3 linked regions of the Arabidopsis thaliana genome follow. The protein of the gene in region 1 purifies or fractionates together with the protein of each later gene. This does not show direct contact. Each region holds a gene or a part of one and is shown in the gene's direction. Other genes may lie near its edges.

Region 1 (7,539 bases):
TTAGAGAATTTACACTTTGGGTAGTGATTTAGGGAATCCTAATTGCCAATTTATCAAACTTACAGACCAGTTTTGAAGAAACGTCTCGAATTGAAGAGGCAATGCCTAGAGCCTTATCAAATAAATCTTCAACTTGCACGTCTGTTTCCAATGAAATGTCCTTCAAAACGTTCAGGACAATTGGAACTGCAACCTTTAATTGCTCGTAGTGACGCCTCTGGATCAAAATAAATACTGAAACCAGGAAATTTGAATAACTTTTTACTGCTTCAGTTCACGAAGACTAAATTAATATCTTCAGTAACAAAACTAGTTAGGGATTCAAACACAAACTTTAAGATATTCATACTTAAGTACAATCAAAGCAAGAGTATTACTAAAATTGCAGGTGCCAAGCTAAAATTCACTTTCATGAGAGAAGTCTATAAATTTTAGGATATTCATACTTGTGTACAATCAAAGCAAGAGTATTACTAAAACTGCAGGTGCCAGGCTAAAATTCACTTTCATGAGAGGAGTCTATAAATATCTTGAAAACGAGAAATCTTCAACTGGTACCTTTAGAGAGCCCATGCAATAAAGGAGTAGAACAAGTGGAGGCTGAATGATAGCACCGTGCAGCATCGAGTGCCTGGTTCAGAGTCATAAGGTGATCAAAAAGAACTTGTAATCTTCTTATGCCAAATACCAAGAAGGAAAAAGAAATTCCAGATCAATTACCTCACAAAGAATTGAAAGCATATCCCGTGGATTGCATGCTTCCACAAACCGATCAACGATTTCCTCAACTAACTGTAAACATCTGCTTGATATGTCTGCAAACTTGGAAGTTACTTTTGGCAAGTGAAATGACAGTGCATCTATAACATCCTGTAATAAAATGAATCGGGGAACAAAATCATAAGCTTGGTTCTCTAAACAAAATCCTTCCGTTTGGCTTTGAAAGCGATTCGAAAACTGAAAAGTACCTGATCCATTTGAGGAGATGATAAAACTTTCAAAATTTCATCTAATACTTCTTCAATAACATCGTTCTCCAGTTCATTGTTAGCATCCAAAGCTACGTTCTCATACAAAGAATCCAAACAGCTGACAAGTTCTGTCACAAAACTCTCAAAGTCTTGAAATCCTCCGGCTTCTTCAACTGACTGAAAAATCACAAAATTAGCGGCGAATTTTTCATTCGAGCTCCAAAAATCACGAAACAGCTAAGTATTCATCGATCTCAAAGCATCTAGAAATTCCACCCAGAAAACAAATTACACAAACCCGAAACGAGGAGAAGAAGAAGAGAGAAAGCTTACACTGAAACACAAAGCTAAAAGTTCTCGTACACGACGCGAAGGAGAAGTAGTGACAGTAGTTGACTCGGAGCTCCCTTCAATGGACGATTCCATAACGCCAAAACTTTTCAATTTCGCCCAAGTTTCGTTCACAGTGAGAGTATTAATAATCGCGAATTTAACCATATCGTTTGGTTATATGAATAGAGTTTAACCCCGGATAGTCTAATTCTAACTAAGAATAGTTTAATACCTGTACCCAAACAGACCACGTTCTCTCTCTCAACACTTTCTCGTTTTCGTCTCCTTCAGATCCGGTGCACTCACGCTCACCGAAAGATCCTCACTCTCCTTCTCTGATCTCGCCATGGAACCTGACGTCAGTATCGAGACTTTGTCGATCATTCGGATCGCCGTCCTTCCGATCGGCACTATTCCGCCGACGCTTCTCCGGGACTACCACTCGATGCTGCTCCGTCATCACACGATCGCGCTCTCAGCTATTAGCTCTTTCTACACTGAACATCAGAAATCTCCATTCACGAATCAGCCGTGGGATTCCGGCTCTCTCCGGTTCAAATTTGTGCTTGGTGGTTCTCCTCCGAGTCCTTGGGAGGATTTTCAGTCTAATCGGAAGATGCTCGCCGTGATCGGCCTTTGCCACTGTCCCTCGTCCCCTGATCTTGATTCTGTCACTGAAAAATTCAATGTCGCTTGTAAGAGTTATTCCTCGGCTCTTGTCCGGCGCTGCTTCGCTTTCTCCCCTGGCGATTCGCAAGTAAGTATATTAGTTTCCATGCTTCTTATCTGCTATGGCATTCTTAGCTCGATGCCGATGGATCTAGCTAGCTTTTTTCTGATTTGTCTCTACAGTTGATAGTGATGTCCATTTTTTGTACCAGTGATTTAGTTACTTGCTTATGGATGCGTTAGATTGACGATTTACTGAACAATGTACTGTCTTTTGCAGCTTGAAGATGGAGACAAGAAGGGTGAAAATTTGATTTTGTTTCCTCCATCTGACAAGCAAACTCAGGAGTTTCATTTACAAACAATGATGCAAGACATTGCCGCTTCGCTGTTAATGGAATTTGAGAAGTGGGTTCTTCAGGCAGAATCTGCTGGCACAATTTTGAAGACGCCTTTGGATTCCCAAGCTAGTCTCAACTCAGAGGAGGTTTATGTCTAGGTGTCCTATAATTTGGTCTACGTTTCATTTCTTCCTCTGGAAGCTTATAACTTATTAGCATAGTCTTCTAGGCTCACTAGTTTTGTTTAATGCAGGTTATTAAGGCCAAAAAGCGTAGGCTGGGACGTGCACAAAAAACTATAGGAGACTATTCCTTGTTGGCTGGTTCACCTGTTGATGCCAATGCTCATTATTCTACTGCTCTGGAACTGGCCAGATTGACTGGAGATTACTTCTGGTATGCCGGTGCCTTGGAAGGCAGTGTTTGTGCCTTACTGGTAAGGCTTTATGCAAATATATCTCTAAATGCATTGTTCTTACATTTTTAATAGTATTATAGTCCAAAAACATGGATAGTGATGTGCTGTTTATCGAAAGTGCACTGATTATGAAATTGCTCTCATCTGTCCCTCTTTAATTAAGTTTGCAATCATCTTAGTTTTCCGTTTTCTTAATATTAGGTAGATCGGATGGGTCAACGTGATGTGGCTTTAGAAGATGAAGTTAGATATCGATACACTAATGTTATCTTGCACTACAGAAAGTCATTTATTCAAGAAATTGCTCAGAGGTAATTCTACCAACCTGTTTGGCTTTCTTCTTCGATAAACTTAAGTAATAGCAATCAATTCTCTTCCTTGCAGAGTTTCGCCCCTAAGCTTTGAACTCGAAGCTACCCTTAAGCTGGCCAGATTCCTTTGCAGGTATCATTGTATGCTCTCTATTTCTTTAAATTATCATGGTGTGGTTTCCTTTCTTGCCGTCTCCTGCTTAAGTTTAAGGTTGCTATGGTATTTTTGTCTAGTAGGAAGCTATATCGCTACTAAAATTTAAATATAAACTCATGGGATCTTGTGTGTGTGTGGCTTTGATCCTCTAAAACTATCTGCAACATTCAACTTATAATACCAATATATTGAGATTACTATTAAGTATTAAGTGGCCTAGTGGAGGATGGCTGTATGTTAATGTTTTGTGATTGATGGTGATGTTAGCTGGGAAAAGAATAATTATTACGTTTTGAAAAAGCTAAAATACATGGGTTTTCCGTTTAGTATGAAATGATACTCTCTGGTTGTGGCAGCTTTTATGTTTTTTTAACCTTCTGGTTGCATCCTCATTTTTTTCTTGGTATCTTTGATCTTAATCATTCTTACAATGTCATTTTATGTGTTGTGCAGGAGGGAACTGGCTAAGGAAGTAGTAGAGCTATTAACAAATGCAGCTGATGGTGCAAAGTCTTTAATTGATGCCAGTGATAGGCTCATATTATATGTTGAAGTAGCGCGTTTATTTGGAGCCCTTGGTTATCAACGGAAAGCAGCCTTCTTCTGTAGGCAGGTCGCCCAATTGTATTTGCAGCAAGACAATCGATTGGCTGCTATCAGTGCCATGCAAGTTCTCTCTATGACAACTGATGCATACAGAATTCAAAGTAGGGCATCCATGTCAAAAGTGTCGGTTAACAATGTGAGTTTGCCAGCATAGGCATTATTTTTCCTCTCTTGTGTTTGATTGAGCATGGTTTTCTGGAGTTTTTTTTGTTATCATCACTTTTCACTATCTTGGTATTTATCCATGTATCATACTTTGATAATATATTGTATCTTCTCTTGTGTTTGTTGGTAAAGGAAACTGGGCGCCTACCTGACGCTGGGAAAATGCATCATCATTCCATTGTCTCCCTGTTCGAGTCCCATTGGAGCACTTTGCAGATGGTTGTGCTTAGGGAGATACTCCTCTCTGCTGTTCGTGCTGGAGATCCCTTAGCTGCATGGAGTGCTGCAGCTAGGCTTCTGAGGTGGCATTATCCTCTAATTACACCTTCAGGTCAAAATGGACTTGCTAATTCCCTTGCAAATTCAGCGGATAGATTACCTTCTGGAACTCGCTGTGCTGACCCTGCCTTGCCTTTTGTAAGGTATGTTTATCAGCAGTCAACCTTTTTGCTCTCAGAGATGTTTTGCTTGTGCACTCTCACCATCATGAAACAACCTAACTTGGTCATGTTATATTTCCTAGCACTCTAAGTAGAGCAACGAGATCAGAAAAATAAGTAATAATCTCTTTTAATCCATCTCTTGGGCTTCATATATGCCCAATATGTGTTTATTTTCAGGAATGTGTTCCATGTTTGGTTCTTAGCTGACTCTGGCAAAACTGTGTATGTTTTGGCAAATTTTAATGGTTCTTCTAAGCATGATTATTTTAATGAAATTTCAGGCTATTCTCTTTCCCACTCCATTCCTCCCAAGTGGACATCGTAAAACGCAATCCAGCAAGAGAAGATTGGTGGACAGGCTCTGCTCCTTCTGGGCCATTTATTTACACTCCTTTCAGCAAAGGAGATGCCAACGAAAGTAGCAAGCAGGAATTGATTTGGGTGGTCGGTGAACCAGTTCAGGTCTTAGTGGAGTTAGCAAATCCTTGTTGCTTCGATTTGCGGATTGATAGTATTTATCTCTCAGCTCACTCGAGTAACTTTGATGCGTTTCCTGTCAGTGTGGACATTCCCCCTAACTCTGCAAAAGTGATCACATTATCTGGTATTCCAACAGCTGTAGGACCAGTGACAATTCCAGGCTGCACAGTTCACTGCTTTGGTGTAATCACTGAACATGTGTTCAGGGATGTTGACAATCTGCTTCTTGGAGCAGCACAAGGACTTGTATTTTCTGACCCTTTCAGATCCTGCGGATCTGCAAAGCTACGACATGTATTTGTTCCTAACATATCAGTTGCTCCTCCATTGCCCCTCCTTGTGGCTAATGTTGTGGGTGGTGATGGTGCAATTATTCTGTATGAAGGTGAAATTCGGGAGGTGTGTATAAATTTTGCAAATGCTGGCACAGTTCCAATAGTACAGGCACATGTCTCGCTCTCTGGAAAGAATCAGGATGCTGTTATCTCGATCGCAGATGAAGCTTTACAGTCTGCTCTTCCCTTGAAACCTGGGGCACAAGTGACTCTGCCTGTGACTTTAAAAGCTTGGCATGTGGGTCCAACTGATTCTGACAATACTATGAGCAGTGGCAGGAATGCTGCGGGTAACACAGGAAGACCAAAAGACGGAACCAGTCCATCATTGCTTATTCACTACGCAGGTATTCATTTCTTCCTTGACGTATGTTTCTATGTATCTTACTTTTTCAGTGCTTCATGTATCCTCACGATGACTAATTACTAAAAGCATTTTTGTATTCATATTTTTGCAGGGCCATTGTCTAACAATGGGGATTCCCAAGAAAAAGAATCTATCGTGCCACCGGGCAGACGGCTTGTTGTTCCCTTACAAATTTGTGTTTTGCAAGGTTTGTCGTTTGTGAAAGCTCGTTTGCTTTCCATGGAAATCCCTGCACATGTGAGTGACAACCTTCGGGATGAAGACATTGAAAGAGAGAGCAATGCAGACAGCCTTGTCAAGATCAATCCCTTTAGGGGAAGCTGGGGACTACGGTTTCTTGAACTTGAGTTATCTAACCCAACAGATGTTGTTTTTGAAATCAGCGTCTTCGTTCAGCTGGAAAACTCTGCCAAGGAAGATGATTCTTCACCAGTACAAGATTCTCCAGAGTATGAATACCCGAAAACAAGAATCGACCGGGACTATTCTGCTAGGGTACTGATTCCATTGGAGCATTTTAAGCTACCGGTTCTTGATGGTTCATTCTTCACAAAGGACCCTCCACCTGGTAGCCCTTCAAGTAGTAGAAATCCGAGCTTCTCAGAGAAGAACACGAAAGCTGAGATAAACACATTGATCAAGAATCTCATCTCTAAGATAAAAGTTCGGTGGCAATCAGGAAGGAACAGCTCAGGAGAACTGGACATCAAGGATGCAATTCAGACAGCTCTCCAGACGACTGTGATGGATGTTTTGCTCCCAGATCCGCTAACATTTGGTTTCAGACTGGTCAGAAACGGTCTGGAGAAGGATCCTGAGACAAAGGCTGAGTCCCCATTTTCAAAGGGATCTGTTCTGTCACATGAAGTCACTCCTATGGAGGTTCTGGTCCGCAATAACACTAGCGAAGCTATCAAGTTGAATCTAAGTGTTACTTGCAGAGATGTAGCTGGACAGAACTGCACTGAAGGAGCTGATGCCACTGTCCTCTGGGCTGGTAAGATTCCTGTCACTAAGTAATAAATATTTGTGTAACATAGATATTTGCTGCCATTATAGCCGTGTGTATTACAATGAGATATGTAAAAGGTGGCTTATACTTTTGTCAGGTGCTCTTAGTGGAATCTCAATGGAAGTAGCGCCGCTGCAAGAAGCAAGACACTGTTTCTCACTCTTCTTCCTTGTTCCAGGAGAGTACACGATGGTAGCAGCTGCTGTAATTGAAGACGCTAACAATGTACTCAGAGCACGAGCAGGAACTGCTTCTCCAAACGAACCCATCTTCTGTCGTGGACCGCCTTTTCATGTCTGTGTAGCTGGAGGTGCACTGTGATTCGTTAACCAAATCAGGTCTTGGCATTATAATTTATACTCTGTTTTTTGCTCTGTTAGTTGATTTCTCGAGAATCAATTATAAGTTCCGGGTTTAAGTATGGGTCTTTATAAATATCTCTATAATTGCTTGTGTGTTTGTCTCTGTATTTACCTTGGGTCATCTTATGACCACCATGCATAGACTATGCTTTTTTGGAATTTTACGGCCTCGGTTCTGAGACTACTTTTCTCAAAGTAAGTGTTTGTACTCTGCTCAGTGGGATCACTTTCAGTGATAAAAAGAATAAAACGATTATAGCATAATATTAGCAAAAATAAAACTATTTAACCATGAATTCCTTCCCTATTGTGTATTGAAAAGGTCCACAGAGCAATGACATAACTTTCACCGTCAAATAAATACCATTCATTGATATAATCAAACAAGGCAGTGAAGTTTCCCCAAAGCTCGTATGTCGTGTATTAGTGGCCTTACGGATTAATCAATAACTAAAAAATAATACAATAATTTACTTTAGAAATAGTTACGATTATTAATTTAAAGCAAAAAAAAACTGACACAAAGTATCTTTGGCTAAAGAGGATTGTCCTATTCTATTGCGTTTGTT
Region 2 (4,916 bases), on another chromosome or scaffold:
TAGTGAAATCTATTACCCCTAAGAATATGAAGAACACGAGTCACTGCGTCAGTGGGTGGCATTGTCTCAAACTTATGAGCAGCTTCTCCCGCAACCAACGCGATCAAGAGAGCACCACCAGCAACCGGTGCGTAGCTATAGAACAGAAAGAATTCACCTCGATAGTTCGGATCCTCAGTAAGATGCCCAAAGGTATCGAGATCTGTGCTCCAAAATACATACGGAAAGAGCATTGCAACTTTATTCAGTAACCCAAAACCTAATCTCTTTATACAATCAAGCTTTCTCTGAGGTAATTCGGGAACAAATTTGATGGATCCGTTCTTAAGGACACCAAGGGGAACTGTACACAGCACCATATCACCCTCATACACTTGATTTCCAGCAGTTACCTTGACACCATTTGAACCATATCTGATTGTTTGGACGGTCTTCTCATATAATATTGGTACATTTTCAGCCAAAGCCTGAACCAGCCTTCCATTTCCTCCAGGCAGAAAGCAGTGATCTCCACCCATATCATATGGGTCATCTTGATCCCAGAATGCAAGAGAAAGCTTTGATACTAGGCCCGCATTTGCATACTCCAAGTTAGCAAGATGCCAGTTAAACAAACCCATCTCCTCGGTGGCCACATCATTCCCAGAAACCTGCCTGAATGTCTCGAGTGCTGCCCCAAGGGAGACATCCATGGAAACATCACCCATCAACTGCCTAAGTTTACTTGCCTTGTCTAGAAGCTGGTTAAACGCTACCTCAACCTTTATATCCACATCTGGATCAACCGGCTTACCATCCACCCTATAAAGAGGACACTTGTCTCGTACCTTATAGAGAGAAGAACCAAGCTGTCTCGCTATAATCCCTAAAGGATTTCCTAATGTTCCAGTCAAAACACTCCCACCTAAATCCGCTGCAGCACCTACCCTATTAGCTTCCATCTTTTTGGTATAAACCCGTCCACCGGGTCGTTTCCTACCCTCCAAAACCGTGACTTTGAAGCCAAACCTCATCAGTTGCCTAGCTGCAGCCAACCCAGATAAACCAGCACCAACTATAATCACACTAGACTTGCTTGACTGAGCAGGAAACTTATCTTTAATCGCCTGTGCTATTCCAAAATTGATATATCCATGTGTAACCAAGTAATTATAAGCCGAATCTAAGAGACTACTACAATGTTTAGGAATCGAATTAAGAAACATCTCCTTTGTGACCCAACTAGATATATTTTCTCGCCATTTGGATATAATGTGGTTCCTAATCAAAATGTAATTGACTTGTTCAATGCCTCCAACAATAGGCACCACACCGAATTCAATCTCTTCCTCGGTAAGCGAATCAGCAGGAAACCCAGCAGTGAGAGCAAGCAAAGCTTCAGTGGTAGCTTCCTTGTTAATCGTAATGATCTCATCACCAATCCCAGGATAACTTTTCACAGTCTGGTTTGATCCATTGACGACCTCTACGTTAAATCTACCGGAAGAAGAAGCTGAAGATGACACGAAATTACTGTTACCAGGAAGAAGACCTACGTTAGGGACGGGAAGGGAATTAAGCGAAGACATTGAGCGCTGAGAACGTCCTCTCCTTCGTTTCTTTGGTGCGGAGAATGAGACCATCTGCTCAAAACTAGGGTTAGAGATTGAGGTAGAGATCGAATTCGGAAATGGATTCAAACTTGTTTCGGTATTGGTGTTTGAGCTCGACTGTGGAGGAGGAGGAGTAGAGAATTGAGAGTGAGAAACAGACGGAACATAATTATCCGGTGGATTCATCGTTTCCGTCGCCGTAGAAACTGCAGGAGAGTGATCGATGAGAAGAGGAAGAAGAAAAGGATTGTTTGGTTACTGGATTAACTTTATCTTTATTTAATTGAAGAGCTTTTTGATGATTTAGTTTCCCACGATTTTTAAATTATTATTTGGGAAAAAACAGAAAACAAGGAAAAAGTAAAACAGAAAAAGAAAAAAAAATAGAGAGAGAAGAAAAGTCTGGAAAATTAGAAGAAGAAATTGGAAGGAGAATAAAACAAACGCGTATCGTATAGATTTTTACCTTTTCTTCTTCGTCTTCTCCATTTTCTCGAGATTTAGCTTTTCTCTTCGTGATCGGGAACGTGTTGATCAGATTCTAGCGTGGATTCGTATCCCAGGTAAGATTCGCAGCTGAAATCGAATTTGTTTCTCGATATTCTTTTCTCTCTAGATCTACTTCCAGACGTAGTGTTTGATTAATTTTTGTATACGCCGATAGTCTCGTCATCAGTTGAATTTTTCATGTAATTCGAATTATGATTCTCAGATCTTTCGCTGAAGGAGTAATGATTGAATTGTTCACATTTTGTTCTCCTGACTTGAATTCTATGTTCGCCGTTGGGTCCACTAGCTTCTTTGTGTGTACTGAACTGCGTAATATCGCGGTCTCTAGCTCGTGTATGTGTTTAACTCGTCTTGGGGTTTTGGACTTTTGCTTTCAGCTACAGAGAGCTTTGATTGGAATGTGCTGAGGAACATTCATTTCGGCTCTAATAAGCCAATCGGAGTGAGTTCGCCAGCATGGGGATTTTCAATGGTTTGCCTGTACCCTCGGATAAAACTGTAAGTTCACTTTCCTCACTCGTAGACTCCTACTTGAGTTGGAAAACCTGAAGTTTGGGCTTATGAGGAATTGTGTTGTTCTATGGTGTTCTTTCATCCCCTTGGGGATTTATAGGGACATTTAAGTATAACGGTTCTTTTTCTTATATCTCTTCATTTCGGGGTTGGAGTTAATTGTAAGAAGTTGTACGATGGCTAGACAAGAAATTGACTGAATTACCACCACTCTTGATTTGGTTATGTATTTGGTTTTGGAGTACATGTGTGTGTATATGTGCCTGAGTGTTGATGGTTATTGCAGTACCTTAGGGAGGAGCTGGCAAGAATAGATGAGAGCTGGGCTGCTGCACGATTTGACTCTTTACCACATGTTGTTCATATTTTGACATCAAAAGACCGTGAAGCTGACATTCATATATTAAAGGAACAAAGTGATGTTGTCGAGGAGGTTGTTGATGAAGTTGTCCATGCTTATCATGGTGGTTTCAACAAGGCCATTCAAAACTATTCACAGGTTTCTAATATCTGTTAGCTCTTCCTTTTTATTGGATAGTTCGTTCTGTTATTCTAAAGTAGCATCCTCTGTTACCGCTTATTGACTTCCATATTGCACGCTTCATTTGCCAAAGATACAACAAATCTAATATTGATACTAACTATGGCTGCTTCTATGGTTTCTGCATGTAGAATTTTCTTTTTGGAATAGTACCCTCTGTTGTAATTTATCTACTAAAATTTCATTTGTGGAACACCTTGGTTTTGATTATCTCTCTTCTTTTGCTCTGCTTTCAATGTATTCCTCATCAGATCTTGCGATTATTCAGTGAGTCCACTGAAAAGATAGGCGACTTGAAGCACGATTTAGCAGAAGCGAAACAGAGCTTGGGTGCACGCAATAAACAATTACATCAGTTGTGGTACCGTTCTGTTACATTGCGGCACATCATCTCACTTTTGGATCAAATCGAGGGCATTGCCAAGGTTGGTTGGATTAGCTGTAACATTTCTTTGTTTATTTTGAGTTTACAGTGCTTGCTATGTATCTGCGCTGCTATCAAGTTTCATACTTCATTCATCATCTCTGTATCTCTGATGTTACTTTTGTTGATATGCTCCCGATATATGTACTTACTTTTTTTTCATTTTGGCTTACTTAAAAGAAACTGCTTTTCTGATGTGAAAATGGTGACCCTGCCTCTTGAAACCTTGAACAGGTTCCATCTCGTATTGAGAAGCTCATTGCTGATAAGCAGTTTTACGCTGCTATTCAAGTGTATCTCCAGTCGTCTCTAATGCTGGAGCGTGAGGGGCTTCAAACGGTAATTTACTTACTGCCAATTTTAACAAATGCATTGTCATGGGAATATTGTGGGTCTTCCCATTCATTTATCAATTTGATCTCTAGGATTGTTTTGTAATAAATCCATTGAAGAGGATCTGGGATCATCGAAGTTCTGTTGGGACTTTAGAAATATCTCTGTCCAAGGGATCTACTGTTCACTTGTATGTTGAACTCATAGATATTTTGGTACGTTAACCTAGGTTGGTGCTCTTCAAGATGTCAGATCTGAGCTAACTAAGTTGCGGGGAGCCCTTTTCTTCAAAATTCTAGATGATTTGCATGCACACCTATACAATAGAGGTGAATACAGGTAGGTTTCTTTTGCAATTCTATAAGCAAATTTCAGAAGCTGTGCTGCTTTTTATCCTCGGATCTAGTGGCCTGCTTGTTTGATTGTTTGCCTCATCACTTCTTTCAGTGCACAATCTTCTGTTCTTGACCATGTTTATGCTGCAGTTCAGTTGCGTCAAGCATATATGAAAGAGATGATGAAGTACCAACGACAACAGCTGTTGCAGCTAGTCGAATGAGCTCACAACCACTGTCACGTAGAACACGGACACTGAAAGGTGATAGTCAGTTTGGTGTTAGAGGGCTCACAAATGGTTCATATAGAACCGCTTCTAATGATGAAAGGTATGATATAGCATCCTTTCCCTTCAGTGTATTCTTCATGAGATATTAGGAACATTTTTTCGTGTATATTGTTAACTTTATTCTGAGTGATCAATGTTTAGTAACTGTCTGTTTAGTTGTAGTTCTCCATAGAGGCTTTCACTTGCTCTATTATTAATACTGAGATTAATATACTTGCATCATTTCCTAATCATTATGTGGAGATTCTCCTTGTAAATTCTTTCATTAGAATATTTGTTGATAAAAGAAACTATACTGTAAACTGATTATTGCAGAAGTTGCTTTGTCTAGCCACACAACCTTTGTTCTAGTTTTACGAAATATACTTTACATGTTTT
Region 3 (7,775 bases), on another chromosome or scaffold:
CTATCTACATCTCTAGACGCAGCGGAGACAACAACGGCGGAGTTTCCTCTTCGCGACGGCCAAGATGGTTGTGGATTAATCAGCAGATTGGGATTGGCGGGAAAAGAAACGATTGGCATAGAAGAAGGAAGCCGAAGCATCTCTTTCAAAATCTACAGAGTTATCTTCTTTTTCTTTTCTTCTTCGCCAATGGTTGTTGGTGAGATTTTGAATATCATGCAGTGGATTCTTCTAAGAAATGGCAAATAATATGGTTCTCTACTGTTTTATCTCTTTTTTGCCGGTCACATTCTTTATACTTTCTCTCTCTCTCGACATTTGCTGGGATTTTCTGTGTCACACAAATGGCACCAATCTTTTTGTACGTTTTTTAAGTATTTATATGTCATATAAATGTACTTTATTTAGCTACTAATCATATTTTTTGGTTAGTGACTAAAACTGTATCATTCCAAACTATTCATAATAATTACGTTTAAAACTTAAGAAAAACATATGAAAAAGTTTGTAGATTGTCTGTTTATTTATCTGTCCTTGGATGCTTCCTTTGAAGAAAAAGAAATTTAGTGTATATATAAAAGAGATAAAGAATATATCACATCCACATATTTGGTAATTGATATATAACTCTGTAGATCTTATTCCTTTTAGATACCAATGACTCTTCTTTTTATGTAAACCATCAAAATCTGAAACAAGCTGAATAATGAAATACACATATCTTAAAATATATTTTTACTAGTAGTAGTAATTAGTAAATATCATAATATCAGTTTGTGGAGTATTTTAGAAAGAATTCGAACATAATATATTTTCGATTTTTTCCTAAATGTAAACTTTCGAATTTTCTCTAGTATGTTCTTAATGAAAAAATGTAAACTTACCAAATGTTGCTGATATATTTACAAAAATGTAAAGTTAGTGTCGACGATACATGTATATAAATATAATCAGTACACGAAAAAAAAGGTTAAGAAAGATTAGAGATTGGTGGTGTGGTGAACAAGAAGATGGACATGTATCATTTGACAGAATACATCGGCGTGGTATCGGGCGTCCTTATGGTAGCTCTTGCTTCGTGCTTGTATGGCCATTACCTACGTCGCATGGTATGTCCATGTTGTGAACCTAGACTACCTAGTGACTCTAATGCCTAACTATTATCATTTTGCTACTGATTATATTTATATAAATGTATTGTCGAAAATTGTGCGTCCGTTTATCCTCTACGCTAAACGGACTCTAGATGAATAATTATTTGTTTCAAAATATTGTAACTCTATTCTATTGATATTTATGAGATTTTACAAATTTCTTTTCAAATAGTTTGTACTTGGAAGCTGTCATTTTCTTAGGCTTTGTTTTTCTTTTTCGTCGAGTTCAATATTCCATCCATCTCATCGATTTATTTCTTATATATTACATGTACTACGTTATGTGCAAAACTTTGATGATATCACAACTAATATATCACATCCAAGTTTTGCAAAGCATGTCGTCAAATTATAAACTTATCAAAACATATGCAACCCCATTAATATCAAACGTATGTAACATCGCTAGATAACCAATCAGACCCCTACGACTAATATTTTCGAATTCGATACGTTATGGTAAGATTTAAAATCGATGATATTTTAGTGACATTTCAAATGATTAAACATATAACAAAAAATAAAAAATAACACGAACCCGAGCATGGGGTTAAGATTTGCGTTTTGCTCAACGAATTAGCGTTAGCGTTTGCAAAAAAAAAAAAAAAAAAAATAGGTTTGCATCAACAGCTGGCAAAAAAGAAAAAGAAAAATCAAAACCGGCGAGACGGAAAATTTCAGCGTTTCCGAACTTTCCATTAGAGTCGCGAGACGATAGATGAGACTCGTTCCAGAAATTTAATCGTTGCTTCTCTTCCCAGCTGATCTGCGTCCAACATCACTGTTTCCAGGATCTTCAGAATCAGCGAAGGAAGAAGATAAGAGGACGACGAAGTAATTGAAGTTGGAGAATCGCACATTTGGCTCTCGATATTTGCTCAATGACTTCTTATTCGGTTGCGTCCATTTTTCCTCTACGTTTCTGTTTCCAGATCTCTTGATTCTCCTCTGCGTTATCGTAATTGTGCTGGAATTTTGAATAACTTTGCAGAGGTAGCCTTCAATTTAGGATCGGAGTTCGTAAATAAGGTGATTTAGCGAAGATGATGGTCGAAGATCTTGGTGTGGAAGCGAAGGAAGCGGCTGTGCGAGAAGTGGCGAAGCTCTTACCCTTACCTGAACTTTTGCAGTCTATTTCTTCAATCAAGGCCGATTACATCGCTCGTCAACAGGTTTGACATCTTGCTTTTGAATTGCAATTGGAACTGAATTGGCTTTTGAAGTATCATTTGCACTGAGTATTAGTGATTCCTGAGCAATGCTAGATTTGAGTTGTTAGGTTTTGATATGCTATTGTTATCTTTTATTTTCGATTTTCTGGAAATTTTTAATGACCTGACTAGTGATGCTTGCTGTTTCAATCAGGCAAATGATGCACAGCTCAGTACTATGGTTGCTGAGCAGGTACAGCTTTAATCTGGCCTTCTTTGTACTTTAATGTATTTCGACTTTTTTGTTGTTCTTAAGTAATAGCTGTTGACAAACTTCAGGTTGAACAAGCTCAAGCTGGGTTAGAGTCACTTTCATCATCTGAGAAAACCATTTATGAACTGCGGGATAATTTCATTTCTATCGACAAGTATGTTTTTGCTTGACTAGAGATTCTTGAAGCTGAGTTACCAACTTTTGCATTTCTCTCCCTCTAACTTCTCTTCTTGTGCCACAGGCTTTGTCAGGAATGTCAAACTTTGATTGACAATCATGACCAAATAAAGCTGCTGAGTAACGCCAGGAATAATCTAAACAAAACTCTAAAGGTAGATATGCCGATGAGCACTGATTGTATTGCTTACAGTATTTGGTTCAGTGTTGTCCTTCTAACTTATTCTTGAACGCAAATATATATAGCTCTGCATGGTCGTCTCAGATGTTTAAATGCTTTCCAAGTTTTTGTCAACTTATTTTTACCTCATTCTCTTTTTTCAAGGATGTAGAAGGTATGATGTCAATTTCTGTTGAAGCTGCTGCGGCTAGGGATTCTTTGAGTGATGATAAAGAAATCGTTAACACTTATGAGGTAGCATGAGTTCCTCTTCCCATGGATTCCAGGCATTTCTGACTGCATCACTTTGAAAAAAAGAACGTTTGGTGTAAGACATAATATTCTGTTTTTCTTCCATAGAGATTAACAGCACTTGATGGTAAACGAAGATTTGCATTAGCAGCTGCTGGAGAGGAGGTTGGGAGGCTGAGGTTTGTATATATTCCACTCGTTTCCTTTCTTTGCTTTTTGTACTTACATGAAGTGAGCCCGAAAGCTTTAATTCAAGAGTTACTGGTGTGCTATGAAAGAAAATAGGTCTCTATGCTAAAGTAATGAGCAGTAGGTAGAGCTGTTACTCTTTTGGTAGTGCATATGATGATTTGATCCCGCCTCTGGACTGTCTTTTCTTTTTACATGAGCATGCATACCAACTTCTAAAGAGTTGTTTTGATGGGTTCAGGGAGTATTTTGAAGATGTTGATAGAACATGGGAAACATTCGAGAAGACACTATGGGGTCATGTTTCCAACTATTACAAACTTTCTAAAGAAAGGTATTTTGAGTAAATATATGATTATGCTCAACTTCTCCGTGTAATTCCATTTTTTTTAATTATTTCTACTGCCTTATTTTAGAACTATGATTCTTGCTGGTTTTTTATAAGAGTAAGGCTAGGAAGTTAGATCAAGGATGCAAGCAATGTCAAAAGATGAGATGGACATAGTTGGACTGTACCCTTTATTCTGTAGCTATATATGAGCATTTATATGATAATACATAGTTTATGTAATGCTCTGTTCTCTGTTTTATGTTCTTAGCCAGACCTTGGGGATTAAGTACACGTTTAGACTTTGCTCCATGTTGAAATAAGCTATTTTCCTGTTGTTAAGCTCTTAATTCTGCTAAGATATCAAATCTTACATATCCTTTTGGTTTATCTTAAACTTACTGATGTATCTTTGTTCTGCAGTCCGCAAACACTGGTTCGTGCTTTGAGGTATGATCCCCCACCAGAGACATTCTTTACCTTTGTCTATGGCATATATTCCCAAATTATTACGTTTCAGTAATTTTGTTGCAAACAAATCTATTTTAATTAGCAAGGAAGATAGTGTATACCTATTTTCTGGTGATTAGCATCAAGATCAGTTCAAACTGGTTTAGTAGGACAGCGAAGTCATTGTGTTACTGTGACAATCATTTTTAGACAAGCAAATTGTTTCTTTTTACTTCCTTTAATGCAACATGCATTGCAATATCATGGATTTTATTTTGGCATTAGAAGTTTCTTAAACACAAAGTCTCCTATCCAGAAGAAAATGAGTAGACTAATTTAAAGTGAACTAGTTAACTAGAACTGGTACTAACTTTCAATGGTTTATTCTATCAAAGGGTTGTTGAGATGCAAGAAATTCTAGACCAACAGCTTGCTGAAGAAGCAGCAGAGGCTGAGGGAGAAGGTGCGATGGCATCTGTAGCAAATCCTCGAAGGCCTGGCAAGTGAGTCTGATATTTTTTGTTCGTATTTGTCTTGATTTGTTGTCTTATCTGTTATTCAAAATATCTTTCACTTTTTTACTAGGGGTTTGACTAAGCTATATTTTGCATTGATTTAATGTCCTGAAAAGCAATGGAATTTTATTAAAGTCCCCATAATCATTTGTGACATGTCCTATATTTATTCTGTTGAATCCAGGAAATCTACTACAACGTCAGCGTCGTCAAAGGGTCTTGCTCAACAGAAATTAAAAGTCCAAGGGAAAGGCTACAAGGACAAATGCTACGAGCAAATTCGGAAGGCGGTTGAAGATCGATTCAACAGGCTTTTGACGGTGGGACTTTCTTTTTGAAAATTTCATTTGATGGCATAGCTACAAGTAATGTGTTTCTCTGTGTGGTCATCCTAACACTGAACTATTGAACAGCTTGTCTTTGAAGATCTAAAAGCAGCTTTGGAAGAAGCTAGAATGGTTTGTGCGACTGTTTCCCTTGCTTTCATACACTTTTCTTCATTTTTTCTTTTCTGCAGTTTATGAAATTATATTCAACTATCTAATATATTTTTGTTTCTCAGTAGATCACCTTTAGTTGACTGAATTAGTTTTTTTTTTGGTTCTTAATAAATATGGTTGATGAACTAGTAGTATGTTACTGTTCTGATACAAAAGTTCCAAATTGGCCTGACCGTCTTATATTACTGTTCCTGTTCCATAATGATTGATGTCAACCTCGTTTTCTTCTGTTATCTTTCACAAATATATATTTATCAACTGGGTTTTCACTTTCTTTTTATGGTGTTCCACAACTAGATTGGAGAGGAACTTGGAGATATTTATGACTATGTGGCTCCTTGTTTTCCTCCAAGGTTTGTTCCTATCTCGTTTTCCTCAAGTGGACAATGAAAGATTACAGCTTAAAATTTATTCTGTTCCCCAAGTGAAAAAGGGTTCCTTAGCAATCTTCTTTGCTGGCAGATACGAGATATTTCAGCTTATGGTGAACCTGTATACCGAGAGATTCATACAAATGCTCAGATTGCTCAGTGACAGAGCAAACGATCTGACAAATATAGAGATTTTAAAGGTATGTAAAGCATGATTCTTAGTTCTCCCATGTTGTGTCGCAACTCAAACTTTGCAGATACTGCTTTTGGTGCTTTGGCTCTGTGTTTTCTGACTGAATATCAAGGACATTTTTAATCAACCATGCATGATATTTAAGTAAATGTCAAGCTAGTCCGAGTTATTTGACAGGGAACACCATGGGAAATTATAAGAGGGGGTACTAATATTATGTGACTGTCTTTGTGTTGCCTCATCAAAATGCCTCATTCGTTTTTTACCTTGTCTCTGTGCATTAGGTATCCTTTAGAGAGTGATGTATCTTTTCTTTCTCTCTTCGATCTTGCTAGGTGACTGGTTGGGTGGTAGAGTACCAAGAAAACTTGATTGCACTTGGTGTTGATGATTCACTAGCTCAAGTGTGTTCTGAGAGCGGTTCAATGGATCCTCTAATGAATGCATATGTTGAAAGAATGCAAGCTACAACGAAGGTAATGACATACACGTTTGACCTACTCTGCTAGTTTTTGACGTTAAAAATTTTTATAATTCTTTTTGCTTAAACTTTTGTTGCCAATTCTTTGGTTGCAGAAATGGTACATGAATATCCTAGAGGCGGATAAGGTGCAACCACCTAAAAAAACTGAGGAAGGAAAATTATATACACCGGCTGCTGTAGATTTATTCAGAATACTTGGAGAGCAAGTGCAAATTGTCAGAGATAACAGCACGGATGTTATGTTGTACAGGATTGCTTTAGCTATTATTCAGGCAAGTTAAAGAGGTTGCAAAGACATTTCTTTGTTCGGCTATGAACTGAAAATATTCCATTTCCTTACTCAGGCTATTTATTTACTATATATACTCAGAAATTTCAAATCGTTCTTTGCTTTCTTCTAAGACTCGTGAAAGTTAATGTTGGAGACTTTACCCATTCCCAGCTTTTTTTTTCATATCTCACCCAAAATCGTTGAATTCCGTTTACCCCCTTTTTTCTCTTTTCTATTTTCCCCCCTCTTTCATTGTGTCTAACTTTTATACTTCTTAAATTTCGTAACTTTTGTAGCATTGTGCATGTTCTAAATTTTGATTCATATTGTGAATTACTTCAGGTTATGATTGATTTCCAAGCAGCTGAAAAGAAGAGAGTTGATGAACCTGCATCTGATATTGGTCTGGAACCTCTATGCGCTATGGTATGTCAAAAGATATGACTCTTTTGATGACACTATTTCTTTCTCCCATTTTCAGACGAATATTTATATGTTAATATTGACTACAGATAAACAACAACCTTCGCTGCTACGACCTTGCCATGGAGTTAAGTAATAGCACTTTAGAAGCTCTTCCACAAAATTATGCAGAGCAGGTAATCCAGCTGCCAGTTTCTGAGCTCAATTTCGTTGCAATTGATTATTTTGTTTGGATATGTCAAATTCCACTGCATCATGCCCACTCTCAGTCCCACTATACTCCACGTCTATGTGCACATACACTCTTGTTTGCATACTAATAAAATGCTTCTCTAATGTGGTGTTTCTGTCAGGTGAATTTTGAAGACACTTGCAAAGGTTTCTTGGAGGTGGCTAAGGTTCGTCAAAGATTCCTTTTTCTCCCTGGTCTTCAATCCAAATATAGTTTTTGCATCTCGATTTATGGCCTTACAGTTGCCCAGATGGCTGTTGAAATGAAATTTCAACTTGATCTTGCGATCTTTAAAGTTAAAATTTATGTTGGATTTTACACAAGTCCCATCTGGTCCTTTGATTTCAGGAAGCAGTGCATCAAACAGTTCGCGTTATCTTTGAGGATCCAGGAGTTCAGGAATTACTTGTCAAGCTTTACCAGAAAGGTATCTACTATTCTGAAGAACTAATCTATTAGCTTTACTAATGTGTGAATAGAGGCAGTCGAGTCGTTGTCACCTCCTTGATACTGTTGCTACTGGTTTCCATTGATTTTTAATAGATAAAACTATTCTCATATGCATTGATTTTCTACATGTTATATAATGTAATAGTTGTGTTCTTTATAACATAATCATTTCAGAATTAAGATATGGTCTTCTGTCCAACT

The links. Proteins that work in one complex are often made in the same cells at the same time.
Region 2: the proteins of TRS120 (region 1) and SEC8 purify together in Arabidopsis thaliana (affinity purification with mass spectrometry, with the first as the bait; one study listed by BioGRID). This does not show direct contact.
Region 3: the proteins of TRS120 (region 1) and SEC6 purify together in Arabidopsis thaliana (affinity purification with western blotting; one study listed by BioGRID). This does not show direct contact.

The regions. Positions count from the first base shown.
Region 1 is NC_003076.8:3,493,682-3,501,220, forward strand, and holds TRS120 (TRS120), read left to right. Parts: upstream 1-1,513; 5' UTR 1,514-1,650; coding exon 1,651-2,061; intron 2,062-2,253; coding exon 2,254-2,460; intron 2,461-2,567; coding exon 2,568-2,750; intron 2,751-2,933; coding exon 2,934-3,043; intron 3,044-3,116; coding exon 3,117-3,176; intron 3,177-3,653; coding exon 3,654-3,942; intron 3,943-4,103; coding exon 4,104-4,393; intron 4,394-4,695; coding exon 4,696-5,576; intron 5,577-5,687; coding exon 5,688-6,593; intron 6,594-6,705; coding exon 6,706-6,929; 3' UTR 6,930-7,264; downstream 7,265-7,539. Other genes in the region: ALF4 (aberrant root formation protein), read right to left, coding at 68-234, 559-631, 721-870, 969-1,148, 1,305-1,469. UniProt on the Arabidopsis thaliana protein: Specific subunit of the TRAPP II complex, a highly conserved vesicle tethering complex that is required for the proper transport of proteins in post-Golgi trafficking pathways to the growing cell plate in mitotic active cells.
Region 2 is NC_003074.8:3,225,999-3,230,914, reverse strand, and holds the start of SEC8 (subunit of exocyst complex 8), read left to right. Parts: upstream 1-1,880; 5' UTR 1,881-2,155; intron 2,156-2,479; 5' UTR 2,480-2,558; coding exon 2,559-2,600; intron 2,601-2,901; coding exon 2,902-3,114; intron 3,115-3,407; coding exon 3,408-3,581; intron 3,582-3,814; coding exon 3,815-3,919; intron 3,920-4,142; coding exon 4,143-4,252; intron 4,253-4,398; coding exon 4,399-4,578; intron 4,579-4,916. Other genes in the region: FLD (protein FLOWERING locus D-like protein), read right to left, coding at 17-1,778. UniProt on the Arabidopsis thaliana protein: Component of the exocyst complex involved in the docking of exocytic vesicles with fusion sites on the plasma membrane during regulated or polarized secretion. Involved in polarized cell growth and organ morphogenesis.
Region 3 is NC_003070.9:27,007,825-27,015,599, forward strand, and holds the start of SEC6 (SEC6), read left to right. Parts: upstream 1-1,739; 5' UTR 1,740-2,050; intron 2,051-2,145; 5' UTR 2,146-2,197; coding exon 2,198-2,326; intron 2,327-2,519; coding exon 2,520-2,558; intron 2,559-2,644; coding exon 2,645-2,733; intron 2,734-2,820; coding exon 2,821-2,911; intron 2,912-3,081; coding exon 3,082-3,171; intron 3,172-3,276; coding exon 3,277-3,347; intron 3,348-3,598; coding exon 3,599-3,691; intron 3,692-4,045; coding exon 4,046-4,204; intron 4,205-4,530; coding exon 4,531-4,638; intron 4,639-4,834; coding exon 4,835-4,970; intron 4,971-5,063; coding exon 5,064-5,108; intron 5,109-5,447; coding exon 5,448-5,503; intron 5,504-5,612; coding exon 5,613-5,721; intron 5,722-6,049; coding exon 6,050-6,190; intron 6,191-6,290; coding exon 6,291-6,404; coding exon of another isoform or gene 6,405-6,470; intron 6,471-6,811; coding exon 6,812-6,895; intron 6,896-6,981; coding exon 6,982-7,068; intron 7,069-7,245; coding exon 7,246-7,290; and 3 more. Other genes in the region: AT1G71810 (Protein kinase superfamily protein), read right to left, coding at 1-140. UniProt on the Arabidopsis thaliana protein: Component of the exocyst complex involved in the docking of exocytic vesicles with fusion sites on the plasma membrane during regulated or polarized secretion. Involved in polarized cell growth and organ morphogenesis.